3 linked regions of the Drosophila melanogaster genome follow. The protein of the gene in region 3 interacts with the protein of the main gene of each other region in a pairwise test. Each region holds a gene or a part of one and is shown on either strand. Other genes may lie near its edges.

Region 1 (11,845 bases), on a different chromosome or scaffold from region 3:
AGCCAGGGCAAAAAGAAGAGTGAGCCACAATTGATTAATGCTCCACAGAGTCTTCGGTTTGTTTAGACCCCTCCTTCAATTTAAATACGTATTTATTTTTTGGCTGTTTTTGACTTTGAACTTGAAAAGGAGCATTGCCACGACGGAGTTGTATCAATAGAACTCTAATTGAAATATTATGGGGAGATTTTCATATGGATTCGGATATTAATTGAAATGTGGAATGGGCAAATTCTAAACTTTATACATCATTTTAGTTTTGTTCATAATTTATTTATAATAATTGATTTATAAATCATTTAGTTTTTGAAAGCGACAACCTTAACGATTATTTTCCATAAAACTGAACTATTCAGATTAGTTTGTTTCTCAGCTCAAAACCCCATTTAAATATGAATGCAATTATATTAAAGAACCCAATAAATCAAAGCGGCCATAAACGCGTGTCGTTTGGCTGTCCACTGTAGTGGAATAGCCATTTGTCACTTGGTATCACCGTGAATTAAACACTTTTCCCAGCCCCCAAACGCCTGATGCTAAAGCAGATTAAATCTTCGGAAATTAGACAATATCTTCATTAAATGATTTGCTCTAAAGAACTTATGGAAAGACGGCCCAAGGTAATCGGGTGTTAACTTAATCCAAACTCCATTAGCATCAGTTCGAAGCTGGAAAACCATTCAATGCCTCAGTTTAACCTTTGTGCGGCTGTGCTAACAACTCTGCTGACATATCATGGGGTTTTGGCCGGGAGGGGATTTTCCTCTGGTTGACCCACATACATAGCTCCCCAGAATACCGAATTCAGAATTGTTATGGTAATTTACAACCTCCAGTTAAATATTTCAGCTGCACCCAACTGTTGCAGCCCGCTGGGCTGCGCTTATTTATATTTGTATTGTGATCGAGTTGACAGTAGCACAAATTTTGATTGATGACGCTTGATTGACATTCGGGCAATTTGCTAATTCTATTTCTAGTTGGCCACGCTTGGAAAATGTGTCGCCTTTTGTGGGTCACCGCGGTCCTCAAACAATTCTTGTACATGCCGATCATTAATCATAATGAGTCGACTGCAATTGAGGTGGTCTTTGCAGTGGCTGCGTTGCTAACTAGCAAATTAATGGGAATTATGTACGCTGGGTGGCTGTTGGGAGCGAAAACTTTAATTAACTTGGGCTGTCAGGTCGAGTTGGCCGATTAACATACGCTCAGGCCTATCAAGTGTCTGCCATCAGTCTGTAAAAATGGAAAATATCCAGTCCAGTACGGCCACTCAAAGTCAAAGTGGAGCGGCTGTGCTGCGGCTACAACTAATTGAAATGCATTGAAAGTGCGTGCGACCAGTAAATGCTGCATATATAAAAAATATACAAACAAATAGCAACAACATAAACAAAAACAGTAACAGCAACAGCAGCTGCGTGTGAAATGTCAAGCGGTCCGCACTTTGGGCTAGTTGACATTTTGCCAGTTTGGCTAACCGAAAAACTACAACTTAATTACTCCCGTTTCGATCGTCAGCTCCCCCTAAGCAACCTTTGCGATGAATATCGCCATTTTGTTGCCTGTCATTTGTTGGGCAACAAATCGAAATATATAAAAAAAGTGACACTTGCCAATCTGCACAGTGTGATGTATGACGTTGACCCGATTTCGCCTGCTTTTTATTATCATTTCCATCGCCTGCATGTTGATTTCGTGTCTTGTCTGTCCGTACACACCTTTCCATGCCGCGACGAACGGCAATTTGTCTTTGCCTCAGGGGTGCCGATTATAATAATTCATCGGGAGTGCATTCGAGTGTGGGCAGCAAGTTCAAAGTGTTAAGTGTGATTTTCAAACATTCGTAATACACGGCGTATACTTAATGTTGCCGCAGTACAATGCCAGCGAATCGGATTGGCCTTCTGACACCCGAACAACAAATGTCAGGATGGCCGAGTGGTCTAAGGCGCTGCGTTCAGGTCGCAGTCTACTCTGTAGGCGTGGGTTCGAATCCCACTTCTGACAAGAACTTTTTGCCATTTTTTCGTTTTATTTTTTGAGCTACAAAAATAAAAATTTCTAAAATCCAAAGTATTTTACAATTATTAAATCAAGAATATACTCTCTCTTGACCAAACTGGAAATTGGCACTCGTTAGTTTAACAGTCAGGATGGCCGAGTGGTCTAAGGCGCTGCGTTCAGGTCGCAGTCTACTCTGTAGGCGTGGGTTCGAATCCCACTTCTGACAATACTCTTTTATTCTATTTTCCACAATTTTTTTCTAATACCAATTAAACTATTTTTACTTGTGCTAAACACACACTTCTTTTCAGTTTTGAGAATGAACCGTTTCAGTATGTGGTCCCCAACCAAAAGAAAATTTGATCTTACGGCTCTTGAGAGTCAGGATGGCCGAGTGGTCTAAGGCGCTGCGTTCAGGTCGCAGTCTACTCTGTAGGCGTGGGTTCGAATCCCACTTCTGACAAAGATTTTTTGTCCAATTTCATTCAGCAAAACGATTAATTTTTCCAACTAAAACTTTTTTTGCCCCTCACAATGATCACCATTTGTTTGGAGCATACATTAGATTGCTTTAACGAGCCAGCTTCCCTCTCAGGGGCGCCAGAAAAATTACAAGTAAATCAATTTGTAACCGCCTAATTGTCAATATTCCAATCACATAATCGGCTGCCAGTTAACGATTGCCCCCGGCTGTCGGGCAGACCGACAGATACAGCGAGACCACACAGGCGATGATCAAGCCTGGCCCCCTTGGGAATTATCGCCGTCTGGCATCGCCTGCAAACACTTCTACTTCTACATTCATCGCCAGCTCGAGTCATTCGGCTCAATCAGACAGAAATTAAAATGCTGACTGAGCGCGTTTTCGAATGCGGCCCACTCAGTAGTTTGTGTTTTCACAATTGTTCTTGGGAAAAAACAGTGCAGGTCCATCCGTAATTATGCTGCTGTTTGTCGGTCGTAAAACGCAATCAACTGGCCACGACAATTGACAATTTGGCTAGTGTAAAACTAGCCATTAAAGTTTTATTTGCTTTAGCACTTGAGAAATTGAGGCTGGCCTGGCCATAACAGGCGAATGGGTCAATTGGCATGTGACAGCAAGAAGCTGCAAGCTGCAGGCTGCAATTTCCACAGACAATGCAAATTGACGTCTTGGAAATATGAGTGATGTGACAAGTGGATGCTTATCTGCGGCTCGACGCCCCTGTTTTTTTTCGAGGGGCTTGCCTCCTTCGTCTGATGAGCGCCCATTGAAATTTATGACTTCGTCGAACCGCCAATTGATTGGCTTTTAAATATCCAAATGAAGGCTGCCAATCGCGAATTGTGCGGCCGTAATTAATGTACAAAAATCATTTGAACGCACGCCCCAAAGCAACACCTGCAGCTGTTGGTATCTTTATTTATGGAAAGCTTTTAACACTTTTAATTAATTATGGGATGGAAAAGTTGGCGGCTTAGCTATGTTGCAAATTTATGACACTACAAATTGATAATTGATAAGCAAAAATGCTATCTAAATGCTAATTTCTCGAAAAGCATATAAAACTAGAGTTAAGTGGTATTTAAGTATTGCAATGTACAATTAATATATTATATACAATCAACTACAAGGTGCGTAATTGAAAGGTGCGCAGACATCATATTATTAAGTAGTAGTTGAAGTATTATTTTCTTCGATTTGATACATATTCATTGCGCAGTACTTTATTCTTTAAAACACTATTATTTTAAATATGACTCATTAAAATAATAAATCATAAAAGAAATACCTATTTTTTAATGTCCTTCAATGGTAGTTTTTACTGTGCGCGATTGAAATCTCAGCCTGATTCCGAATTTGTCAGAGCTTTCCGGCGAAGATCTCGCACGCATGGGCACAAAGCTCGACAAAGCTGGAGAGACGCTCTCCAAACCGAGCTTCGCGCGGTGCCTTCGCGTGACGCAGGCGGAGCTTTCGACAGTCTGCTCCCACGAGTGACGTAGCGCAGTATAGAATGCAGAACGTAACAGAATCGTAATCGGAGCCGCATAGCATACCGCTAATTAGAAGATAGATGCCCTTTTCATTTAATCGTATCTAGCTGCGATCGCTTAAACCGGCGCCAATTGTATTCAAAGTTCCGTAACCGAAAGCTTTCACCTAGAGTTCTTGCCGTGGGGTTATTAAACTCAGAACTGCCGGTCAGAGAAAAGGAGACTTTGTGTGACAGGTGAGTTCATTATGTACATATGTATCTGTTTTCCTAAGATAAGCATAGGTAAATAATGGCGATGTGGGGTACATATGTTTATATTTAATTTCAAAGTATTTTGTAAAAGGTAAGACCACGCGGCTTTGAAAGGCAAGCACAAGTTATCCAAAAAAGCTTTTCCGTGGATGTGCATCTTATTGGTGCTTTTCTACGTGCAGCAAAGCAAGCTTTTATTCGCCAGAGCGAAAGTTCTTGGGGTCACTCTAGGTTTTCTTTTATTCCAAGAAAGAAAATAAGAAAATAAATAAGATATATGTATGTACTTATTTTAATGGTTTTCTAAACTAGAGCTTATTAATAAAATGATAAAAGAAGCAATAACCTTAAATTAAAATGAGTGATTTTATCCAATTTTAAAATAATATTTGATAGATGACGAATACGATAACCACTCTTCGGATTTGCCAGGCTGTGTCGCTAAATCCTAGCGCGAATGGGCCGGAACCAGTATTGCCACCTTCCTCCAGGATTTGTCTGATGGGTTGCCAGGATGTAAAGCCCAATGATCTGCGTCGTTTTCCAGTCCACGATACCGATCGGTGAGTATTATACACATACATACATACATATGTAGGTTCCTCCTGCCAAGAACCACATTAAACCTGTTTTTAGAGCCTACGGAGAGCTTTCCGATCGATTCGATCACCGAAGCTTGTTTTTGTTGCGAATCACAAGTGCTCATTCTATATTTTAAACACCATACCATTAAAGCCATAACAATCCAAAGCTTTGGACCCCGCTCGGTGCTCCTCTTCTTCGTCTGATACCGATACCGATACTCGCAGTCAAAGGTCATTGAACTTTCGCCCTCCCTCTCTTTCTCTGTCTCTGTCTCTCTGTTTTTTTCTCGGTTCGCATAAAAGTGCATCATTTTCATAGGAATATTTCAATGCCATGGCGGCTAAGAACTTGTGCAGTGCAGCAATCAGAAATGCAATAATGCCGATGTGGGCGGGGCAGTGGGTGGGCGGGGGATAGGTCCCAGATTCCGACTCCCATTTATTTATAGCTCTCACGCTCTCCTGTAAATGCAACAAATGCGCGTGGGGCTCTGCTCTGCTGGCCGTGAAGTGAAGTTATTTTGTGTTTCTTTGCTGCTTCTTCATCTCCAGTTTCTGCAGTTGGTGCGCAAAAAAAAAAAATAGAGTTCCGTCTGCCAAAGTTACTTGGCATTGGCCATGGAGTTTAGAGTGGACCACTGTTAAGCGAATTCTTCCTCTTTCCGAGGAAACCCCAGAATGTTAAGCTTTATTTATTATCAAGGAAAGCTCATATTTTACCTTTCGTCGGTATTATCACTAAATGTACTTTGAGACCAAAAAAGTGAAAGTCACTTTTATAAGCAAAATCGAAATAAGAATGACGTTTGCTAAGTTTAATTATAATAGTTGGTTATCTAACTGTAGTCATTGAGTTCCGTTTAAAAATTTTCAAGATATAGTATGAAATTTTAAAGTGAATTATGACAATAATTTTAATTTCACACAGTTGTACGTTGGTTTTGTAAGTTAAGCATAAACCATTCTTATGAAAATGGTTTCAAGCGATTAAAATTTATTTAAAACTTGGCTAGTAAGTCAGATTAAATATGGTATGAGTAGGCAAATGATTTTGCTGTCCCTGACCTGCACAATAATTTCGCATTCGGTCCACCCTAAAGGCCTTAATTGTTGTTGTTGTTTCGCCTAGCCATAAGCATAAGGCAAAAAGAAAATAAGCCTCATTCCCCCATCTTCCACAAATCGGCAGAAACAACAAAAATAGGGGGAAGTTGAGCAGAAGCTGCAGCAAAAGCAACAGCAACAACAAACAATAACAATTCCCCGCGAAACTTCCGCTGAGCGAGAAGGAGCGTACGAAAGCGTTGCTTCTCGTTCGCACTCGCAAAAGAAGCATAAAAAGAGCTTAATTGCAGCGAAAACTTTTTCAAGAACTTTTCCAAGAGAGAGCGATAAAGAGAGCGGAGAGCGAAAGTCGGATCTAATTTGAAAGCGTCGCAAGAACCAGAACGAAACTCCAATGCAGTTTCATTTTGTCAGTTTAATCATTAAACAAAGAACTGCGCAACCGATCGCAACTAGCTCGTGGACTCTTGTTCTCCCAATAATTGGTATGTTTTCCATTTTGCGTTAACATGGAAAATGTGTGAAAAGCTTTTTCCCCCTCCAAAAGAAGCGTACTGAACTAAGCTTTCGGTGGTTAGTAATAGTAGTCGTTATATCTTATTTTTCTTATTTACGTGCAGCTGCAATCATTGGCTGCGTCACTTTGGCGTCAGCTATAAACTGGTGGATCAACTCGGCGGCCTCCAAAAGCTGCGCATCTGCTCCAGACACTTTAGCCAACGCCAGGAGATGGCCAAAACCCGCATCAAGATGACGCCGCTGCGCAAGTCCTCGTCCTCCAAGGGCATTGTGCTACCCATTAATGCCGCTGGAGGGTCGGTCATTGCAGGCGCCTTAGCAGGAGGAGGAGGTGCAGGAACTGGGAGCGGTGCTGTCAAGTCGGCGGTGGCCAGCAGCACCACCATTGAACTTGTTGAGGTGAGTGGCAGCACAAAAGAAAACAAAAGTTCAGCTTTCATAGGGGTTGGTAATTGACCCAAGCTAAATTTCAGTTCAGACAGAAATTATGTTTTAGACTCCGTAACGCAATTTTCGTTGTTTATTAACCAATTGAAATAAATCGTATAGGTATTTGAGCATTAAATGGTATTCCAAAAACGGGCATGCTATTAGAGTTAGTTTAACAACAATACAAGCATGTCTTAAAAAAATACGTACAAAGCTATTTATTCCGTAAAAGTTTAATTTTTTATAACGAATAGCGACAGATCCTGAACTTTTAAAATTTCAGAGAACCCTTCAACGTTCTTTCTCTTTAAATTTCATATTTTAAAGATATGGTTAAAACTGCTTGTATGCATATATAAATATATACCACTATAAATGTATTTTAATGAACCGCATTTTTTTGCAGAGCCCCAATAGACATCAGGCCAAGAAGCCCAACACCGGCATTATGCCCATGCCACAGCGTTCCCACTCCATTAGCTCCTCGGCCTCCAGCGATGTGCTGTCCATAAACTCCGACTACGAAGCCTCGTTACCACTATCAGCCTTAGAGGATTCCCAGAATGGACTGAACCGCTTGGAGAACGGTCAAGCCAAGAAGAGGAAACTGTACGTGATCACCGAAAAATCGGATGAGACGAAAGGTCAGACTCTGGAGACAAATGGACAGCCCAAGAAGCGTAAGATGTTCGTGGTTGTGGAGCAGGATAAAGATGTGGCGGGCAAGAAACTAATGATTATGGCCGACAAGCCGCAGACCAATCTTACCCAGCATTTGGAGAAACTACTGCCCGAGCTATTGAATCGCATACAGGACAAAGAACAGAAGCAGATCAAACCAGCTCCAGTGGTGACTAAAGCCAAGCCGGTGGTTAACAATCCCAGACCACATATAACATTGCCGCCCAAAAAGAATCCAACTAATTTTGCAAAGATCACGTCCACACCAAGCTCAGTGCCTTCATCCATTCAGATGCCACTGCCAATTCAGAATACCAAGATCCTAAAGTCCGAGAATTCGGAACTGACAATGAATTCGGATGAGATCGAGACGAACATAAATCTATCGCCCGACTTCCGCTTCCTAATGAAAATCCTACCCAAATTGGAACAGCTGCCCGAGCCCCACAAGCAGAACGTGAAGCGTTCCATCCAGATCTTCGTGGAGAAGAGCTACAGTATTTACGGCAACAAGGATTAGTTATCAGTATTTTCGGGCACAGCGTTTATTTTCCATTTCATGTGAAGCAGTTCCCTTTATTTTCGTACATACACATACATACATCAAAGGCATTTCATAACTTTGTGTAAGACTGAAGCAGAACCAATTTAATTTCTAAGCCAATTGTAAGAGCTGAAGCAGCTCCCCATTTAGACATGTAAGCTTATCAGAAATTTGATATTACCCACCTGGAGATGGGTAGATTTTGTAAAAGTTGAGCCATAAAAACGAATTAAGATTGAATTTCTTTCTATATTGAATATATGAAAGCTTGATTTAAGCCAGAAAGATAAACCGTCTAAGAGTCTTATTTTTGGGATAAGAAGGTATATAACGAGGGGATATTACCACGACCCACAATTAATAACACTAGTGTTTTTTTCTTATCTTTTTGGTTTTTTTTTTTTGCATTGTAATTCCAAAGAACTTTATTTAGTTTGAAAGCATTTGTTTACGGTTTCTCTTCTTCCATATTTCTTTCTTTTTTTTTTTTAGTTACGTTATAATAATATTTAGTAAGTCTAATGCGGTTTTATTTAGTGTGGTTTAGTTTAGTTAATACAATGGTTAGTGTGTCTTTACGATTTCCATGTAAATTATGCAGCTTCACTTCGTCCTGGAGAAAGGATTGCATTTGGTAATTTACAATTCTTGCCGGCCCATTTACCACTACACGTGTATGTTTTGGGTCTCAGTTTCGTTTTAAGTTAGTATATCCGATTAATGTGGTTAATACATTACATATATACAGTTAAACACTTCATGTTTAATTTAGCTTGCGGGTCAAGGAAACCAAATTATGTGTAAAGTATTAGGGAACTTTGTTGCGTGCCTTTACTGGATGAGGATTTCTACATGATTGGAGTGACTCCATTTCGAGTGCTACATTATAATCGAGTAATATATACTTTTTACAACATTTAGCAAATTTTCCCGTACACATACAATAACTCGTATATCATATTTTTGCGTTAAGCATTTGCCATCGATTTTTTTTTAGAGGGTATAGGGTGTGTTTTATATGGTTTTAAATCGTGTTTGTTAACTACGTTTTGGAGTGTCCTACATTATAGCGTTTGCCTTTTTGTCGGTTAGCGTATCGAGTGTTTTTACATGCTACTTATAAGAAAAAATATTTGCCTTAATGTTGTCCTACGAAACAGTTATGTCATCATCATCATCAATGAGAAGCAATCACAAAGTTTTCTCTAAATTTATATACGACGATTATTACTATTATTTATCATTTTCTTTAGTATTTACATAATTTTTTGGAGTGCACAAAGCAGCCAGCTTCTGTCTGGTTAGTGTAAGCAACTAGAACTACATTCACTGTGGAGTCGAAGATGCTCAATTATCCATTTTGCATTTACACATCGAGTTGGTTAATCGTCGTTTAGATGTGGGTTAGTGGGTTCGGGTTAAAAAAACTGTGTCACAATTTCTACAAACAGCCTTTTGTTAAACATGGTAAACGTACATATATGTTGGTTATTTATATGTTATGCGAATTTGGGATTATTTCATATATGTATATAGGAGTATTTTGTAATTTTTACATTTAATAACCTGAGCGCAATCATTTTTATGTTTTATTCTACCAATCTTGACCAATTCTGGTTTCAATAGACTTCTCTCCCCTGAGAGTCTCATCATCATATATTTGGTTTATATTCAAAGTTTATGATGTACATGGCATCCTTAGGTATCCCGTATTCAATGGAATGCTGTCTTTGTACCTGTATTCTAATACAAACTTGAAGAATTGTTGGTGTGTGGTGTGTTGTGTTTTAATCTCAAATATTGTCCATAAATATACATACACATATCGTATATAGTGGGTGCTAGTTGTCTGGGGTTGCAGTGTTACATGGCTATAAATTCTAATTAGCAAATGCATTGGGTTGGGTTGGATCCACTTTAGGTAATGCGATAAATAAATAAAACAAAATGGATTCGTTTTCTTCTTTTTTTTGTTTTGTTCTTATTTTTTATACAAACAGTTTACACAATTTTTCGTTTTATCCTCATTTAACGTAAATTAATGCGTAATTCGTATCTAGTATATATAGTTAAGAATGATCCTTAAAATCGGTTTACAAGTCAAATACTAATGCAGTTTACAATTACAGTTGATCCTTAACTTATGAACTCATTTCAAATAGGCGCTACAGTCGCCAATCAAATTATATGGGCCCATATGAGCCGATATCTTGTGTCAATTACATTATGTTTTAGTTCAGACCTGCTCCAATCGGGGGTTGTGCTATTCGTGTAGTATAATGTACATGTCCATTACTTATCTCGTACTCGTATTATCTCATAGCTAACCGTCTTACTGAGCTAAGGAGAGAGATGTGGGCTAATTATTGGTGGGGGTGTGGAGATAAGGAGATAATGCTATATACACGGTGCCTAAACCGAACGAAAACTAACTATCCGTATGCGTAGTCGTATTGTATATGTACCACTACGGGGGAGTATGTGCTTATAGATGTAAATGATTTTGATGTCGATGCTGATGTCAATTTAATTCGAGCGGTTGTCTCTGGTCAAATGAGGGGGAAAACAATCTGTACTCTATATGTTTAAGGTTAAGAAAAACTTTAGTTATAAACAAAAGTTGAAAAGAAACTCTACTTTGCTGCACAATGCCTTGGCATTTCGGTGCCTTTATGCTTTTCTTTTCTTTCATTTCGTTTTGTTTTTGCTATGAGATCTCCGTGAAAGTTTTGAATTCATATTGGTTTTTGTTTTGTTTTTGTTTGTTTGTTTTTACGCTAATTCATCCATGTATATATATATTGGATAATATATATAATGCTATAATTAATAACTACATACATAAGAAAGCAGCACAGTTAAGAGAATCGAAGAAGAGAAAAGTTTAAGTTTAGCTTCAGTTTAAATTTCTTCAAGAGTTTCTTCTACTCCATCGTCGTTTTTCGATTAAATATTGATGCATTTGTTTTGCTCTAAACATTGAAGACAAAAGACATTCAAATACACATACACGGTATACGTTTTTTTTTTTTTTAATTTTGTTTAAGTGCTTAATCTACATCAAAATTTTGTCGTTTCAAATAAATGAAGTGCGAATTATATATTGCATATCCTCAATTAATCAATCATCATCGTCAAATGAGAAAACTCAGTCTTAAACATATTTAATGTTCTGGGCAGCCGAGGCCTTAGCAATTGATCCTCTATAACCGATCCTGTCCTGCACCTTAGCTATAGTCTATAGCGATGAGCATTGAGAGAGACAGAGGTGTAGTTAGTCGAAAATTAAACTATATTACATGATAATCAACTAAGAGCAAATTAATCATAACTAAAATCGAATTGATTCGGGCGGCGCCTTGAGACTCCAAGGAGAAATGGGATCCCTCCCTCCTTTCCATCCAGTTGGGATCGATCCGCTCGAATCATTAACTGGGGGCAGTGCGTCGTCCACTTGTTGGTTTTTCATTTGTTGGTTTGTTTATTGTATAGTTTACATTTATGAAACTAATGATTAAAAAGCCTAACAAACTATTATCAAAGCGAAAATTGTCGTAACTAAATTAAGTTGAAATTGTTTAATTTATATTTATATATTAATTTATATTGTATTTTTGTTCAGTCGACAGTTGAAACTTTGAACTTATTTCATCGAATAATTTTCCTTTTTCCTAATGAGTTAGGACTGACCATTTTTTTGTGTGGCCAGCTACATTTAGAGTATATTTCTAGAAACCAGTTTCAAAATTGAAGCTTCAAACGTGTTTGTGTAAATAAAA
Region 2 (11,270 bases), on a different chromosome or scaffold from region 3:
AGTTGTCATTGTCTGGGGGACTCTGGCATTTTGTGCAAGCCATTGCGCAAATATGTATGCAATCCAATGTCCATTGTTTTATGGTTGGAATTTCTATTCACATAGCAGTGGTAAATGTGGTTTATAATTAATGGAAGCTCAAGTTTTTGTTTATAATTTAAAAATGCAATTCTTTATTCTGCGGTGGATGGTGTCACAAAATCGAGTTGAATGCTTTCTTTGCTTTTATTTGCTCTTCGCACACAAAGCAAATTTAAGCTGATTATGCTGGTTATTTGAACTAAACCAGCTTTGTTTGTTTGTTTTGCCAGTGGTAAATCTCAGCAAAGCTTTCCTTGTCTTTGCCATTTGTTAGCATTTTAGAGCGAATCGCAAATTCCGCATGTTAATCAGCTGCATGATTTATACTTGGCTTTGTTCTTGCCAAAGGCACATAAATATGTTTTTATTATTCAAAGCGCACATTGAGTCACGTTTCGCAGCCATCGTGGCGTATACGCAATGCGAAGTAAATATTTTCACTAGCCACCTAGAAGTATGCAACGATATTTTGTCTTTGTCACGAACTCTCAAAAGCTGATTGCTGTTGATAATGGTAATGGTGGCGATGCCATGCTGCACTTGCTCCCAAATTCCTGTGGCACATGCAGCACATGGCAGACACCCACAAATTGCTGCCATAGTTCTTCGAGTTGCTTCGCTTTTTCATTTCGCCCAGCATGCTCCGTGCTCCGTTGGCTCATTGACCTGTGAATTCGTGGTAAGTTTAGAGCGAGAAAAGTAGCAGGAAATCTCTGCATTTTCCTGGTCGATTTTCCTTTTGCCTTCGGCCCACCTGAGGCTGCTTGAACGGCGATGGCAGTCAAGTGCAAGTGATTGCTGGAAAAAATTACGTACTTGGGCATTGTTTGCCTGCCAAATTGATTTCATCTGCTCAGCATTCCGGAGATGATCGGCCTGGCAATTGTTCAAGTGATTCCGAGGGAAATAGGTAAATTAAATACATACATATATTTTATGGTATAACAAGGATTTATACCAGAACCGATTAGCTTATAGCTATATTATAAGTAGATTGATGGGCACCTCTTAGATTAACCGGTTTACCTAAATTAAACCATTTTAAAGAGCTTTATCCTTTCAAATACATTTACCTATATATTACATGCTACTACAGAAAAGTAGTTTTCCACGTCAATTGAAATTTATTTATATTTGAGTTTAAGCCGGTTGAATTCCCCAATCAGCCATAAAATACCTTCACTGGTAGCACACACATATGTTGTAGTGCAGAATAATCCCCACGAACTGTGTGTAGGATTCTTTTGCAATTGTGCAAGCAGTTCTTTTTATGTTCCTACTCTCCACCACTTGCAAGTGTATTTGCAAGCGATTGATTTGCCCAGAAGCTGCTAGATATAGGCAACGATAAAGTTTTATGTTTATTGGTAGCACCGCAGCTAACTGGAATTGGTTATCCAACGTCCTTGGCAGTTGAACAAACTAATTGGCAACGGGAACCGGCGGCAAAGTGCGTGGAACGGTGCGTATACGTAATAAAGCTTAATTACACTAGAGTCAACACAGAAGTCCAACGTTTACCGACTCGGGTTCTCTTTTGTGACTATATAGCTTCAACTGGGTACGTCTGGATAGGATTGTCTGACACAGTTTTACTACACAGCCGTAAATATTTCATCAATGCGGTGGAGAAGCAAAAAGTTTTTCAATTAGCATGCCAAGCGAAAATTTCAACTAATTAAAGGTCATTTTGTGGGTGGAAATCCACAACAGCGCACAAAGTTTTGACCCCAAAAAAATGTTGTTGCGTTTTTTTACTATTTTGGCAAAACAAAATTTATGACCATGGTAAAACAGACTGGAAAAAAAGAATGAGAGAAAAAGTACATTTTCCGATTTGCACGGTTCGATGGAAAGATAAAAAGGTTGTAAAACGAAGTCGAGTTCCAACGAAAATGTGTCAAGTTGTAAAAGTCGAAAGCATATGAATGCCTTACATTCTAGGGAAACCAGTGAAATGAAATGCCAACCGGAAACGGAAGCGTGCATAAACAGTTTTAATTATGTCCTGTTGCTGTTAGCAAATGAAGTGGCAACATGCGATGCGGAGAATTCACCGAACACCTCGGGAATTATGACATCAACACTCGGATGCCATCATCGTCATTGTCCAGAAAGCTCAGAATGTGTCCTTGCCACTAGCAACCTTATTTGGTAGTGAAATTGGTCTGGTTCTGATTTCGTTTTTATTCTACCTTTCCCTGTGCAACAGGCTGCGATTTTATGGCCCACGGCCAGCGAAAAGTAGTGAAACTACGCTTCTCCAAAGGATAATTGCAATTGGCGCTAATTCGAAATTCCGCTGGGAGTTGCAGGAGTGGATTACTTCGACTTAGCTCTTTTAATAAAGTTGCTACAATTGAAACTTTTAACATTCCACAAGTTTTGTCTTGCGTTGTTTGCTTGAATTAGATTTTTATTAGTTGTTTTTCTAGAGAAAGGGCCCCAATTATCTGATAAGCTTATGGTTTGGTTAAAAAAACAAGTAAATATTCCTTAAAGATCCACTGAAGCTTTAAAGATTGCTTTTAAACTGCTGCAAAGTGAGTGCCTGAAGGCAATTCCCCAACCACCTGCAGCCACGCGACTATTCCTTTATTATCCACCAGAAACACAAGCGGCACCATTAGCTAACCCTTTTGGTGGGCTTTTGGGGCCAGGGTCGCGACCTACACCAATCACGGTCTGCATTGTTTATGATAAATGGAAACGCTTGCCAGCTGCTCTGCCCCGCGGGAGATATGAAAGAGCTGAGATTCGGTTTCAGTTTCGGATACGGGGTGGAGTGGGGCGTTTCTGGTGGCGATGCGGTTTCCTGTATGTGAGGACAACCGTGAGCTGGCGATAAATGTGCGCCCACGCCCGGGATGTCGTCCTGTGGCCATGCGACGAGGTCAGGGAAAAGAATAGGGAAGCCGCATTGCAGGAACGCCGATGAGTTTTCGCTCTTGGATGCCACTAATTGCTGCGCTTTGTTGCTGCCACCCAATCTCCTCTGGGCATCTACCCCCCACCACCCTCCTGCATCCTTTTCATTCAGTTCGTTTTCCCACGTTTTCGCTGCACTCCAGGCACTCATATTCTAGCAGAATCTCGCTGGAGCTGCAAAACTACTCATTTCGCGCTTTTTTTTATGAATACATAATTTAATTTGAGCTTCAGTGGCAAACTACGAACTGAAGTTATTAAAAGGATAGTGTTGTTATAATTTGAAAGGCACTTAAAAAGTTTCATCGAATATGAAAAGTAGCAAGCATTTCAATTACAAATACCTTTCACCACTTTTCTTAACTTAATAAGAACATTTTTGTGATGCATAACTTTAAAGAAAATCATTGCAAATTAAGAGGAACAGTTTCTCCCTGTGCATATGGCTATCCAATATTTTCTATTTACTCAGTTATTTTTTGAAATAAAACTTTATTATTCAAATTTTTTCGCCATGATATCTTATTGGCTTTGGTGTTGAGCCGCGGTGCAGAGGCCAAAAGTGTTTGGCCACAAGGAAATTGCATTTTTTCCGTCGCGTTGCTGCTGTTCCTTTGACGAGTAGTTGCCATCTTTGGTTTGGGCTGGTGCATTTCGCATTTTGCAATTTAAATAAATTTTCCTTTGCTGCCATGTGGGGCGGCCAAGACGTTATTACTGTCGGAATCAGGAGCCACTCAAGCGACGCACCCACGCAGGCAAAAGGGATCCCAGGACGAAGGACGCAGGACGAGCAGCTTCGCTTCGTTTCGTTTCGTTTCGATTCGGATCGGTCCAAAAACGATGACGTAGTCGTCGTCCTTTTGCTGGCAATTGCCTTCGCCAAGTTGGCCAGCAATTTCAGTTTGCCTTTGGCCAACGGCAGCGACAGAACCTCCCGAACGTCTTGGAGCGGAAAATTCGAGAAAATCACAGCGCGCGAGTGCCAGAAAATATTTGAAAAATCTGCCAACGAAAAGGGAATAAATCAAAGAAAGGAAATTATTGTGTGAATCATGCCGGGAATCCTATTGCCACTGGCGCTATTGGCCCTCGTTTCAAATGGTGTGTGTGTGTTGCCTGCGGTTATTGGGCTTGTAAATTCAGAAATTCCTAAAATGATAAAATGTACAAATGTATATTGCATATCCCACAGGCGCAGCCATCAGGTGTTATGTCTGCGATTCCAGTGATAATCCCAGTTGCGCCGATCTGGGCTCGAATTCCAGCATAGTGGCGGAGGTGAGTTGGAAAGCAGATTGCTAGGATTGATTGATTACTGGCCTGTTGTGACCTGTTGGCGGGCCACTGGGTTGCCAGGTCAAGTTGGTTCAACCTTTTCAAACCTAATCGCATTCAAATCGACCTTAGTTCTTAGTCAAAAGCTTTGGCCCAGACGGTCGCAAGTTAAAGCTATATGGCACATAAATTTGCACTAGCAAAATACAAAAAAAAATAGTACAAAGCAACGGTTGGAAATGGAGCCCACAAAAGCGGAAACGGAAACGTGCTCCGTCGTCGTCCTCTTGTGGTGGCAACCCACTTTTCCCCTTTTTTTCAGGCTAACTGAATTTTCTGTTACTGGCATCTATCGCCGTTTTTAGTTGACTGCTACTTAACCCGGCCACGTGCCAAACAGTTGAAATACTTTCAACTTTCAACCAAAGTCCAACAACGTAAATTTCAAGCTGACAGGTTCTTGTAGGTGTCTAGTTGCCCGTTGGTAGAATTACTTTGATTTGAAGTGGCGACACCTGAGCTCAACTGGCTTATAATGCTACCAAAACTACTGCCAAGCACTTTAATTAAAACCATTAAAAAATAAATATCAAGAGAACATAGTTTCAAAGCTTTTGGGATATGAAAAAGAAGTTTCCAGACTCTTAAGTGGTCTAGAATTTTCTTCTGCTTAGTTAAACGTTTTTGACATCGGAAAATAACTTTTTTTATTCTTTTCTTAAGTTAATGAATCACTAAATCAAGTTGGTAAAACTACAACTGTTAATTGATTTATTTCCACAAAAACAATAACTTTCCTAGAACATCGAAAAAAAACTCAGTGTCAAACTCGCTGAAAGTCCCGTGCGACTTTCTTATCATTGCTGGAAATGATAGCCAAATTTGTTTTTAGAGACGTCAAGTAAATTCTTAAAATTTATTTCATTTGTCAAATCAGAGATGTGAATAATCAGCCACAAAACAGCCAAATGGCGCAAAATGTTCTGATTATTAATGGCCTGAATTATTAATTACGGAAATCTTATCTTGTATTGTGAGCGAAACTCAATTTTGTGTCAAAATAAATAATTCAAAATCAAATTAGATGCGCCAAAATAATCCCCTCAATTTATGTGTCTGATCGTATTGAAGATTTTAAATCGCAAAAAGAACAACAAATGTGACAATGTCATTTAGTTATTCCTATTAAATGGAGCACTTAAGGTGTTTATCCACTTTATCGCTGAAAACTTAAATGGGGTTTTCCCCTTTCTCGGTAAAAAAAAGCTGATACCTTAACGCCTAAGCCTTTCCAAGAATCGTTTTATTTCACTTCTTATCTGGGCTAAACAAATAGAGTTCAAGTGGTCTTGGTCTGGATACCAAGGCCATTCGGAAAACGCATCGTTAACGATATGGCCGAATGATTCGTCGATAAGATTAATAACTTACGCATCGAGTGCAATGGCAATTAATACTTTGATTAACCAAACAATAGGCATTCGTTGTTCCCCGGATTAAATTGCTGATAATATTTTTTAGGAATGCACTTTGGACAAAATGAAATCGCTGGACACCTGGCTATTTGACTTGAATAAGTTCTCATATTTCGATAATGGCGCCAACAAAAGTCCGCTCATGAATTGCCAAAAAGTTGTGGCCAAAGACCGTGAGTATTTTTTTAGGAAGTATAAAATATCAAATATATTCAAATATAATTTAATATTTTTAACATAGATTTAAATTCACTTGAGTAATGGTATCACATTTTTACAGCAACTTGACTCATTCTTATGGCTAATAAGCGATTCTTATCAAATGGTTAGAAATAAAGCTGCAATTTGCAGTGCGACTATTGTAGAATGTCAATAAAAGAAGCCCTAAAGATAACGAAAAATTTTATAGTTCACATGACACAGATTGTTTATTCAAAGCACTTACTTTTTATGACAATAGCAATTAAGTTTATTTGTTACATTCCTTTGGCAATATTAAGGATTCTAAAACATCAATACTTAAATTAAATTACGAGAACTTTACTTGTACTACAGTCATTTTAATTTATGAGCAAATCACTTGAATTTTCAATTAAGATTTTAACCTTTTAAATATAGTTGTATATATAGATGTATTGTATATAAATATTTAAATCAAGTGAATTTAAGTAAACCCAACTAAGTTGAGCTAGTTCTTAAATTTCGATATCTTGCTATTTTTCGCAGCTGATACAAGGAAAGTGGTGACGGCGCGCTTCTGCCAACTGGACACCGGCGACTCGGATGCCTGCGAGATCCTGCGTACCAAGCTTCGCATCCCGAGCCCCGAGGAGCGGGAGCAGCGGAATCGCAACCAAAACAAGCGAAGGAAGGGTCACGGCCAGGATGCGGAGGAGGATGACGAAATCTCCGCAGAGGATGCGTTCTTCTGCGGCATCTGTAAATCGCATCGCTGCAATGGTGCGGCGGCCGTAACGCTTTCCTTGGCTACGATTCTGGCCATGATTGCGCTCCAATTGGGCTGCTAAGCCAGTTGGATGGTGTGTGAGGGATATGGACAGATAACCGTGAAACGAGTGGTGGCATGATGGTTGCATTTAGGTTTTGATTACTTTGTAAATATTTGAGTGCAATGTCGCTGATTCGTACAGGTTGCTTCAATGGCACACACTACTTAACCCCATTAACCCCCTACTCCCTTAACCCTAGAAATGTAAGCACAGCACAGACACACACACGATACACCGATACAGTACATACAAGAGGAAGGAAAACACACACGGAAAAGTTCGCTTTGATTCAAAACAAATATGAAACTTTCGATTTTCAAAATAAATACCGGCAAAATAAAGAGTAGGGATATGTGTTAACCATACATCCTATATATCAATATAAAAATGGCATTCTATGCCATTAGCTCTTGTTGTTCAGCTTTATTATGTTACTATTCAGATTGTTAGTTTTAATGGCTTGGAGCGATGTGCATAGGAATTCACCAATTGCCTTTAATTCTCATATAATTTCTTAGGTAAATTGAAAAGTGCTAAATGATTCCAAAGTGCTTATATGTCCTAGTCAATGAATTCGTGTTAGAATATTGAAAATTTGATAGTACGTAAATTGACTGTAAAAGCCGCAAGCAAAAACAATCAACTTAATGCAAGACGCGAATTTAGGAATCACGTGAAACAAATGCAATAAATGTTAGTAAATGTGCAATTAGATGAAAATGTCAACGAAAAGCAATGCAACAATTATTACGTGAGCTTCAAATCGGCTAAAAACAAACAACAACTATATAGTACCATATGTTTTTTGCGACGCGTCGAGCTCTCAGTTCTGCTTAGTTTGTAAGCGTTTTTTGAAATGGAAACTAAATTGAACATTCCGAGCACACAATAAATGCTGTATGACAGTATAAAAGATTTTGGAGTGCGAATTTTTTAATAGCCGATAACGATGACTTTTATAACAGTCTTGGCATCAAGATAAAGGGTATCTGGGTTACTGGAGCTTGGAAAAAAGTATCAATGCAATAAAAAGTATATTCAATTCATAACAAGAATATTGATTGCCATGAAATTATTGTATTATATTTATTTTTATATTTGTTTGTTGCGTTAGGCCAACAGAGCGTATGCGCGATATTCGTAATACCTCTTACTTTCTAACTTACTTTCTATCTTTTCAACGGTATCCAACTCTTCGAGTGACAAAAAAAAAACTCCCAGCCCATATCAAATATTTTGTTTTTGTTGTCTTTTGCTCCTTTTTGGACTTGTGCTCCGCAATCAAAGATAATTTTCCCATTACTCATGTAAAAGATGCTTCAGTTTTTCCCGCCTCCTACGCCCGCTTATCAATAGCTCGACCTCTGTCGCTCCATCATGCTTTCCCTGTCTCTCGCATTTAATTTGAAAGTCTGGGCCGATGCTATCGTATGTCGTATGTAGTTTTTTTTTCCTGCTTCCCGTGAACTACATGTTTCACCAGCCCCGCAAATCATGTGTCAACCCCCCACAAGTCCACCAAACCCACATTTATGGCTATGAAATTCAGTTTTTGATGAAGCAAACAGCAGACTCCGGAAGGTTCTTTGTGCCAGTTCAATTTGAATTTTCGGTAGCTGACACGACGACGTTGGAGCGGTGAAAAAATAAATAAATTTATAGAAAATATATCCATAGAAGGCTGCTCAATCTGGGCAAGTTGCATGCTCTGACACTTTGACGTTTGGCAAATTGAAAGTTTTAAACTCCCCATTCACCACCCCATCATAAACCTGCCCGGAATGCGCTCCTTGTGGCTTCTACTTCTAGTGGCTTTCGTTGGCTGCGGCCCATGTGTTTCAGGTATGTCATAAATCATCGAGTGGTGTAAGCCCTACACCGTATGCTAATTGATTGACCCCGAAGCGAGTTACAAAAAGTTGCGCATACGCAACGTTGAACCAAACAGAGGGGTGCGCTTATTGCTTGGGTAATCCAGCTGATAAGGTGAAGCTGATAAGGCGCACCCTCACGGGTGCCCTTTTAAGGTCATAGGTTCATGTTTCCTTTTGTGAATTTCCACTGTGAATTAAACCTTATTTTGCATTTCATATTATGCATATAGTTATGTTATTGGCATAAAACTAACAAAAATATTAAAATGATTTAAAGATCCATATTAAAGATGATATTATGAGCAAGGTGGCATATTTTTATTTTTACTTAATATTTATTTAAAATCTCTTCTTTGCCCAGCTTTGCGTTGCTACAAATGTGAAGACTGCGATGAAAATACGCAGCTAAGTGAAATGGAAGTGTGTGAGAGTCCACTGATGGGCGGCAACTCCAGCACGAAACCAAATCCTGCTCCTTCTCCATCACCAGCTGAAACGAATAATACAAATAGTGCTCCTGGCTCCTTCTCCTCCTCCGATGCCAGCGAAGAGGAAGAGGACTCTGAAAGCGAAGAATCGGCGACCATAGGCATCATGCCAGCAGGATCCGGAACAGCTGCTGTAGGCGGAGGAGCAGCTGGAGGAGCAACCGGAGGAGCAGCTGGAGGAGCAGATGGATCAGCAGCGGAAGAAGTTGTAAGCGAAGAGGAGGAAGAGGACGAAGATGAGGAGGATGAGGAGCGACGCAGGCGGAGATCGAATGCACGACAGGTCGATCTCGATGTGCCAATTGCCTTCTGTTACACAGTGAGGCTCCAACGTAAGCAACTGCCGCCCATTCCCATGGGTGTGCATCATAAAAATCATAAAAACGCCGCCTGGTGTGATGCTCCCCCACCCATGGCGATAAGTTATCTACGACTGAGTCATGCGAAAATAGCACACAGTGCAAACTGAAATGCACTAGATGTAATGATTTGTATATAGATAGGAAAATATTATTATTATTATGATTTATTCAAACCTTATTCAAACCCACCTGCTCCACAGTTAACGAATCGACGATCACCAAGAGGGGCTGCACCACCGCCAGGAGGAGCAATCAGACGGGTGGATGCGATGGTCTCTTCGAGAACTGGACGGTGGCCGGATGCCAGCTGTGCCAGGACGATGGATGCAACCAGCCCATGGCCATCGGATCATCCAGTAGAAACAATGTCCAATTCTGGACACTGCTGGCTGGACTCATGCTAATGGCATTTATGACCCGCCGCCATCCGATATGGTAGAAAATCAGCAGACACGGCGTGGGGGCTCGATCGATATGAAATATAGAAATACAAGATATATGGCCGCCACAACTTCGATTTCGACTTTGGTGTCTGAGTTCATTGTTTTTTGGGAGCGCTTGCCGATTTAGCGCGGGCACATGATGTGTCTATTTATACCTTGCTTACCACTCGAAACGTCTATTGTCTGGTGGTCATGAGCACACCTGAGCTATTTTCGCATAATTGTTTAATTGGCATCGATAAGGAAGGCATTGTCCCTTTTTTTTCCAAATTCTACCAGCTAGGGAAAGTGCTCGCTCATTGAGTAGAGGCGTTTCATTCAAGTTGCAACCGTATCGCAATCAAATCAATTAGTCGCTGGCGATAAGAGTGATGACGAGGTATACCGTATTCGGTATGAGTCGTGTGCTCCATGACTTCCATGACTTCATGCGACCCGAAAAAAGTCTGATAATACTGTTTGATACAGCGATCAACTAACTGGGCAACTGGCCAAAGCGTTTAGGCCGATAAGCGTTAGGAAGTCGAGTGGCAATTGCTGCCTAAAGCTTTTACCAGATTTATGGTATTATTATTTCGCGGCCCGGAATTAAGTAAAGTTCTTAATAAAGCGATGAGGAAACGCGACCGACAACCGGGCAGCAGCACTTTAAGGAAACTTGCTCTAAACGGCTAAAATGCAATTGCCAAATTTGTTAGCCTGATGCGGACAATGTGTGATATATATATATAACTTCTCGATTTGTGGGCTCGCTTTTGGGGGAATTTTAAAACACTTCCCCGTTTTATTTTCGTCAGCTTCCGGGACGGTAAAGTACCTTGTGTATGACGATCATGCCCAAAAGCCAGCGATTCGAAAAGCCCGGCTTTCAAGCGATTCTCGAAGAGAATCAACACAGAGAATTCGCATGAGAAAGAGCATCAATATCGCATTTAGCACTCTACGTGATATCGTCGACACTTTGAAAGATATATGCAACTTTTCCCATCGACTTTTTGTAACCGGGGAAGTTATGGTTTTTATCACCCGTCTGCGCTTTTCAGACGATGCGTCAGTTAAGCCAGCCGGCACTAAACAGATTCACTCGTCATTTGGCACGAACTGCGGCCGGTTAATGATGAGTTATTTGCATTTGGCCAAGATACACGATCTACGAAATGCAACCGTTAATCTTCAGGGCCGAGTGTTATTTAAAAATATAATAAATTATGAATAAATTATGTTTTGGGGGTATTGTCAATTACTTGGCTACACCATTACTCTCAAAGTTCTCAATTTAAATTTGCTACATTAGTGATTTAGGCAAATTAAAATGTGAAATGAAAACATTG
Region 3 (8,616 bases):
TGGTTTCGCTCTGGCTAAAACTAATTTCCGCTAGATGATGTCAAGCCATTAAGTTATATTTGGTCAGCTGGGCGAACTGGCGACCACTACACAAATAGTTGAGTTAAGCTGTCCATGACAGCGGTCGTGAAAAACCAAGGGTCAAAGTCAAGTCAAGGGGCAAAGTTCACTGAGCCCATTCGCAGAACTTGTTGCATACTTCATGGGGAACCCATTGACATGATAGCTGGTAAGGGGGAAAAGGCGTGGAAAATTCCAAGTGCTCTTGAACATAAAGTTTGCTAATTGGACTATAAGTGCATATTGCACATTTTATAGAAACATAATGTTGAGCTATTACAACACTTATTACATTTTTAACTAAAAACCATGCTTTAAAATGTGTACTTAAAGTTATAAAGTTCAATCAAATTTTTGCCATATGGCACACAGTTTAGTCATATCACATTTCACTATGAAATAAATAAGCGTAGCTTTGGCAGCATTAAGCTGAGCGGCATTCACAACAGGATTAAATCTGATTAACCTCAACCCACCGACTCTGACGTCAATGATGAACATATTTGCCCCTGGCAGCAACTCAGTTTTTATTTAACAATACCTCCCGAAGTTAAACAAATAAAATGGCAATATGTCTCTGGCCTGGCCTTATTTAAGCCTCTCGACTGCCAGGAGTGTTTTAATTTATCAAACCCTGTATCGGGACTTGTCGCCAAGCCTCAGCAAATCTCACCTGCCAAGTGGAAGTGCCTGCCTTTAGCTGATTAAGCTCATTTATCAGAAGTGAAGCCAGCCCAAATGGAGGTTCCTCGAAGTGCCTCACTCGGCTCAAGAGTCTGGCAATTAAATGGCCTAAACTGGAGACCCAGAAGTCGCCTACGGCATTCGCACAGTAAAGAAAGTTGAAGTCAATATTGATATTCATGTTGGGAATCCGTCTACAAGCCTACAAATTCCCAAGGAACGAGGATGCCACAAGGAGGGCGTAAAGGCCAAGGCATTTTGGTATTTGAAAAGTTTGGCGCGCATCAATTTGGCAAGACAAACATATAATCGTTAAAGTTTTAATTGTACTGCTCAAATGATGTTCGCTGCCATCTAAATTTAGATTGAACAAAGTTTTGATATATATTAACAGAGTTTGCGTTGCTCAAGAGGGCGGAATTTAGTTCGTATTGATAACATTCCGCAAATTTAATGAAATTATCACCAAGAACTTGTGGGTACAGCAAGCCCCAAGCGATTCATATGGTGTGTGCCTACTTTCTTTAAAAATATTAAGCAAACATTTTACTATGGAGCTTGCCATAACTTATGTAAATGATTTAAAGATACACTTTTTGAAGTCAAAGTAGTTTCTCTGCGGAGTTAAAGCCCCCCAGGGAGAAAGTGGCTTTCAACTTTCATCTATCAGCTACTGCGTCTTTCTCAAGGAATTCTGTTCCGACGTTTGTCGAATAGTTGGCAACTTTCTTCAATTCATCCAGACCCATAACTTGACATGAGCACAACACCCCTCCTCGAAGTCCTGCCCTCGCCAGACATCTGGAAACTATTGACGTGTTCCACGTTTTATGGCATCCGCCTCTTGGGATCCAAGTTGTGCACCCATACTTCATCTTCCTGCCGTTGGCTTATTATATCGCAATGTTGATTTCATGGCATTCTAGCGGTGAATCCTAAGCGTTGTCATAGGGAAAAAAAATCCTGCAGCAGAGGATCTGGCAACATAACATAACACTACTAGTGTGGAAATTTTTTTTTTCAGGATGAAGTTATATTAAAGATTTTTAAATAATTTTTTGACTTTTGGCTTCGATGTGTGGGATAAAAGTGAGGCTGTCCTCAATAACCATGTTCTTTTAGCATGTTTTATAAATTACCTGTTCGCATCACTGGTTGACACGGTCCCTATGGTTGAGTCCGGCACTTGTGAAACTAATTGCCGTAGATTCCGACCAAATCCGTCCGGCATCTTGGCCACAATATGTTGGACAAATGGACAATTTTATGAATTAATTTGATGTCTCGGCTGATTCGCTTCTCGTTATTCGGAGACACAAGGAACAGCCGCAAAAAAAAACTTTTTGCATAATGGAGCGGAGAAAATGGGTTTTTGAACCGAAATGTACGGAATTTCACAGATGTCACATGTGCAGAACAAAGGTTCGAGACAAAGAATTCATTGCAGCTGAATGATTAATTTGAGCTCATGGAGCACATTGCTTTGATGATTATAACGACCATGTTGATGTCAAGTTAATCATTGACCTAACTTTTTATGTCCACCTTGGGCAATCTATTTTCATGACTTATAATGAATAATAAGCTTACCATAAAAGGACGATGTTTTTGTTTAATTAATTGGTGAATATAAACCAAGGAATTTTAACCCTTAAGAGTATTATACACTTAAACCACATTTTAAATTTAACTAACTTTATGCATTAAATTTAAACACTGGCAATGAAAAACCAGTCGCAGACAAACAGCATTTTATTTCAAAACAATTTCGAGACCTTTTATACAAATACTATGCATGTTTTGGACTCACAGAAGCCCGCACTGTTTTACATCCACAACCGGCAAAAAAAAACATTGCCCTTGGACTGCATTTTAATGTCCAACTTGTGGTTCAGTAAACAACTAAAACTCTCGTCTGTGAAAATAGCCCCTCTGGAGGCCATTATCCTGCTGCTGCTGCCACTGCTGGTGGAAAACTATTTTTAAAGAGTTAAAAGCGATTCAACGGAAATGGAATTTATAAAATTAACATAAGTTGAACCCAAACTGAAAATACAACTTTGAGTGGCCCTAGGAGAGGATATGGATGATTTCAGAATTATTGAAGTGAACAAACGAAGGCAAATCCAAAAATATCCTTGCACTGCAAAGGGCTAAGATGGAAAAATTCATAAAAATATGGCTGGGCCCGGGTATTATTTATTTTCATTTCTGCCGCGGGTCCTTTCCGTTTCCCTTTGTCCGGCTGTCTGTGTAATCGGCTAGAAGGACTTAGATAAAACACGAAATGGCCACAAAAAGGATCTTGTCGCTAAGAGCAACTACACCCATACACACTTCATGAATACACATGCAAACATCCTTCTGGATGAGAGTTCGATAACCGGATTCCGAACTGAACCCGGCGGCCTAAAGGCTTGCCAATGTTGGTCAAAACAACTGCACACGTCAGCAAATAAGAATAAATTTGTAAAAAATTACGGAACTATAAAAGCATGACGGAACTGTATAAGCCTGCTGCTATTAGTTAACCAGTTAAAACTAACAATAATAAAGCCACCTAATAAGCTACAATATATATGTATATATAGGAATTTGGGCAATATTACATTTCTTAAGACTATATTAGAGATGATGATACACTTCCAACAATTTTATATTATACATGGTCCACCAAAAACTGCCCAAATCGCACCATAGTTGAGAGTGGGTGAATCATATAGACGAACAGCATGGCCAGAACGGTGGCCTGCAGGACATATTCGGTGCGATCCGTATGCTCGAATCTTCGCTGGTGGATAACGGTGATGGTGAAGAGGATGAGACTAGCCACGTAGATCAGACTGACCATCGAGACGTATCGCATTATATAGCGATTGCCGTTTAGATACACAATCAAGTAGATCGAAACGACAATCGCTATGCAACAGAATGTGAGGACGATCATGAAGATGCTACCGGGCAGTATTTTCAGCGGCAGATAGACGCCCATCAAGTAGAGCATGACGTTCAGGGCCAGCACGAGTGACAGGACACCAGTCATCCAGAGCATCGATAGACGAGCCCACCGGTGGCAATTCACAAATATCACTATCACCTCCACGATGACAATGGCCAGCAGACCATTGCACGGACACTGGTTGGCCAGGTACACGTAGGCCATGATCAGCACACATCCCACGGCCAGGAGCAGCCACACGAAGCTGGGCACCGATGGGCTAATTAGCTCCCCGAAGTCCTTATTGCAGAGCCGCAGGACCACAAGCTGAATTACTGCACTTGCCGATAGAACCGCGTGGATCAAGTAGACCCAACCGAGGTGTTTCTTCCTCAGGTGCACAGAAGAGCGTTGGCGCAAAGGACCCGACGATGCGACCGGGCTCAGCAGGCCCGGGGATTCTCCATATGGTTTCGCAGGCTCATGCGGTGGTGGAGCAGGAGCGGGAACATGAGGTGGTGGCCTGGGTGGAGGTGTTGATCTTTGACCAGTCGGTTTGCGTAGACCCGTCGATGAACGTGGCGTGGGATTTGGCCTGCTCATCTTTCTGCGCGTTGATACCACCACCCCCGTTGTGGGAACCTGCTGGGTGCTATGAACATGTATATTAAATATGAATATATTTGATTAACAAGGCGGTGGGTGTACTGTGGGCAAAAAGTGTTATGTTACAATTTAGATCTACTGAAATAAACGATTGGAATTTTTCTACTGAAACTAATACAGTTAAATGATTGATACTTTTTAGTGTTGATATGTGATGGAATAACGAATCGATTGGATGTATAATTCTGTTAATGAAACCACTGCGCAGTATATGCATACTCATGCATATTAAATGGGAATTATGCTGGCCAGAACTGAAGTGCTAATCAATGACACGTGCTGCGTTGTCACTAGACTCATTAAGATGGCCCACCTTGCACCTGATGATGTGTTTACATATGTATTCAGCTCTGGCGAACTGTGTGCGCTGAGGGCCAACTTTTTGGGCCATTTTGTGGCTGAGGCTTTTACTGAATTTTAATTAGACTCTGCCGCTGAAAAGCCAGCACGTGCAGAAACATTGGCAAACACAGCCTAAAGCCAAACAACAAAGTCAGGAATTAAATAAACATGAGTCGGGCAAAAAACTTGCCTGGAGGAGAGGAAACCAAGTGGTGTCTTATTACCTAGCTTTCTTTAGAATATGTTATTGAGTCAGAGATTATCGCGCTTTGTTCGCCTGCTCTCTAATCCTCAATAATCGATGACAATATGCGTATTTATCTAAAACCGTGCTTACACAAATGTCAGCATCAGGAAATTTGGGCATTCTCGATATTATTACCCCAGTTTGCTGTCATAATAAGCTTTGGCATTAAAAATCCTACAAATGCCTATCAATCGGCCTGCCACTCAGAGCAACAATAACTTTTAAGAGATTTAAACTGACAGTGCCAATAGCCAGGAAAACCACAACACGAACAAATGGCAAATTACGGCAAAGTGCCGTAAGGAAGTCATAGTAAATCCAATTAGAAGGACAATCGGATTTTATTGACGCTCGAATGAGTTGAATTTAGCTGTGAACTGTACAACAGATTTATTGAAGCGGAAGAATTGAATTTATCCTTAGGCAAATACATTTAAGAATACATATGTGACAGCTATATAAATTAGTATCAATACGTACATTTCCCATTTCGATCTATTAATTTATGTTTTATTTATGCTTTCATTGAAAAACCAACCTTGTTAATGCCGCAGAAAATTGATGTAAAATGTAAATGTAATTTACTTATCCAACCAATTAAAACGTCCATCTGAGGTTGTCATGACAATGGCTCGAAATATGAAGTGCCATCAATAATGTCTGTTTGATTGATTGAACTGGCAGATCCTTGTGCATTTGAGCAACAATAATACTTAATAGATACTTGCATTCTATTAATAAGCACTAAGCATTCCCCCTATCTAATCAGGGGTGTCAGCTTACATTTGTCAAATCTTTAGCCTTGAAAGTTAATAATAGGGCTACGTATTAAGTATTCATGGGAAGGAAATTATTAGAGACATGTGAGCCGGGCAAGTGTGCTCAAAGAGGGTTAATTATTTAAAATCGTATTTCTAAATAAAGCAGGACATTTGCGGTAAATATAGAAACGAATGTTTAAGCCCTGTAAAGCACTTACCTACGGCAAAAATTTTAAATTTAAAACACCATTCGGTGGGGGAAGACATTAAATATGCCTTATGTGGCACGTACCTACATCAAAATCATACCGTGGCCCTCCAACCGTGCGACATGCAATTGAACAAATAAATCAGAGGGCTAATAAATATTTAGCAACGATGGTAGGAGCTGCCTAAGGCCGAGGCAAAAACCAAGACTTCCATAAATGCCGCCGACTGAGCCATTCAAGAAGCCAGATGAACGGAGCGAAGGACAAAGCACGATTTCAGGCGACAAAGCAGGGAGTTACATCTGGATGAGTTTCTGTAGCTGTTGCTATTGCCGGTTTTCCAGCTCTTTCAGATTTTCACGCCTCTCCTGTTCTTCCCTTCCCTTTTCGTGACTTTCTGGCTTAAATGCTGTTGCCTTCTGCACCACATTGCGTATACGTGATGTGCCACGACACGGGCTTCCACATTTAACAATATGATTAAAGGCAACTTTTAGCACCTGTTCTGGCTGTTGATTTCGTATCGAGTATTAATTGCAATTTATTTTGTATGCCAACACTCGAGACGACTCGCATGCAATTAAATTATTTACGCATGGGGGGCATGGCGCATTTAAATGCTTATTTATGCATATGTAACTGAAATTGTGTACTTAACGCATGTTAATCGCAAACGTTTGTTTAAGCAGTTATCCTTCGAAATTACTGTATAAGAACGGGAGTAAGGTGCATAGGAATCCGCCCCTTTAAATTTTTACATAATTAATAGACAATAAATTACTTTTAAACAAATGATGATGCAATATGAATGACATCATAGCTATAATTAATATATAAATTTCCTATGTAATGAATTTTTTCTCAAAGGAATAGCGAAACTCATTGTATTTTCACTTCTTCATTATGATTTTTTCAGTTTTCGTTTCCCTCTTAAGGTTTTCTTTAACTACGTCCAACATATTTTTTTTTTGTCCATATTAAGCCCTTTCCGAAGAACAAGAAGCAGCTGGGAATTGTCCTTGTCCTTTTCCAAGTAATTTCAAACCAGTTCTACATTCATAAGGACTGTGTGAATTGTACCAGGAACTTCTAGAACTATTATTTCCAATGTACAGAAAATAAAAAAATTTCCGGACATAGAAAATATTCAAGCTAAAAGGCAGATGGTCCACCTATTTTTATGTGAGCCTTTCAAGCGTTAAGTGCTCAGCGGCGTTTTAACAAGTCCTGGAATTGTTGACAACATGTCAAAGAAAACAATGGTGCAAATAACTATGGTTCCTTTTCTTTTCTCCTTTGTTGAGCCCCTTCTATCATCCGTTTGCAACGAGTTAAGTTCATTAAGATGAAAGAACTAAACATTAATTTCTATCTAGAAGACCAAGTTGTTTTTCATTTAGTTTGAAAGCACCACTTAATGTGTCACTTGAAAAGCGTAAACAGGCATTCACTAAATAATTATCTGTGATAATAAGGGGCCATTTTAAAAAGTGTGAATGAAAAAAAGTTATCTGTCATCTGAGCTTAAATTTTGAAATGAAATATCATTTATGATAACACTTCAAAAATATTTTTACTTTGAATATAACTAGACTACACTGTTACTAAGAATAGAAAAAATGCATTTAAAAATTTTAAGAAGCAATAAAATAAGAGTCGAAAATATGTTGTAAATTTAGTGAATTGTTTAATTTGTAATGCTCGAAAACAGCAAGTAATTTATTTAAACTTAAAGCTAAAGTTAATCCGGAGCCCCAAGTGCCACAATAAAAAACATGAAAGCTTTTTCTGTGTTTCTATACAAATGTTGACTATAAATTAAAGCTTATGGCTTCAAGCACCACACTCTTAGCTTCCTTTAACAAATGGTATTTATTTTACCAAAGACGTTAAAGAAGCAAATTCATTTACTTGTCGATCAATTCAAACAAATTCAAATATATTTTCGAGTATGTAATACATTATAATCATTTTAAAAGTTATTTGCCATGCTTTATGAAAGCTTATTTTCATATTTGCGAATGCTGTAATCAAAATTCATTTTAAATTCTGTCAGTTAACTTTGTACACACTTTACCACTAATTATAGAAACAGATACAGAAATACATAACAGAAAAAACCTTTAAAAACACAATTATAATTAAAAATATTCAAAAAAAGACTGAGTCATGAAGAGAGTCCATGTGGACAACTACACACCGAAGTACTATAGTGGCAAGTGGTCCTGGAGCGCCGAAAAGGATTGCCTGGAATTCGAGCCGCACAACGATCTGGAGAATGCCAGGGAGCGCTACATCACCACCAATGGCTATAAGTTCCTGCGCATCATCGACCAGGAGGAGGAGCTTATCTTCCGGCAGGCTTACGTGCGGGATACGGGCACCTATGACTTTGACACCTTGGTGATCAACGACATCCGTGACCTGGTCCTCTTCCTGATGCCCAGCGATTTTCTGACCTACCGGTTCGTGGAGTTCATGCACCGCCCGGCGGTTCACCGTCTGATCCATGCGCTCATCATTTATTTCGAATACTTTCTGCGTATGGTGGAGTTTGTGCTGGTGCGGCGCGACGAATTGGCCGATCAGATCCAGAGCGATCAGACCATCGATATGAAGAAGACATTCTCGATCTATCTCAGTCAGTATCGCCTCCTGGTGGCCCGCAACTACAGTGTGATTCTGAAGGGAGAGGGCGATATGGCCAAA

The links.
Region 1: the proteins of CG4073 (region 3) and bip1 interact in a two-hybrid assay, tested with the Drosophila melanogaster proteins (one large-scale study listed by BioGRID).
Region 2: the proteins of CG4073 (region 3) and witty interact in a two-hybrid assay, tested with the Drosophila melanogaster proteins (one large-scale study listed by BioGRID).

The regions. Positions count from the first base shown.
Region 1 is NT_037436.4:8,050,842-8,062,686, reverse strand, and holds bip1 (bip1), read left to right. Parts: upstream 1-3,973; 5' UTR 3,974-4,226; intron 4,227-4,593; exon of another isoform or gene 4,594-4,640; coding exon 4,641-4,807; exon of another isoform or gene 4,808-5,186; intron 5,187-6,311; exon of another isoform or gene 6,312-6,378; intron 6,379-6,478; exon of another isoform or gene 6,479-6,513; coding exon 6,514-6,811; exon of another isoform or gene 6,812-6,886; intron 6,887-7,247; coding exon 7,248-8,042; 3' UTR 8,043-8,354; downstream 8,355-11,845.
Region 2 is NT_033779.5:8,334,376-8,345,645, forward strand, and holds witty (without maturity), read left to right. Parts: upstream 1-3,911; 5' UTR 3,912-4,064; coding exon 4,065-4,113; intron 4,114-4,204; coding exon 4,205-4,290; intron 4,291-5,808; coding exon 5,809-5,935; intron 5,936-6,488; coding exon 6,489-6,790; 3' UTR 6,791-7,681; downstream 7,682-11,270. Other genes in the region: CG14273 (uncharacterized protein), read left to right, coding at 8,554-8,614, 9,008-9,466, 9,697-9,935.
Region 3 is NT_033777.3:10,710,600-10,719,215, reverse strand, and holds CG4073 (uncharacterized protein), read right to left. Parts: upstream 4,419-8,616; 5' UTR 4,286-4,418; coding exon 3,404-4,285; 3' UTR 3,315-3,403; downstream 1-3,314. Other genes in the region: CG14689 (uncharacterized protein), read left to right, coding at 8,077-8,616.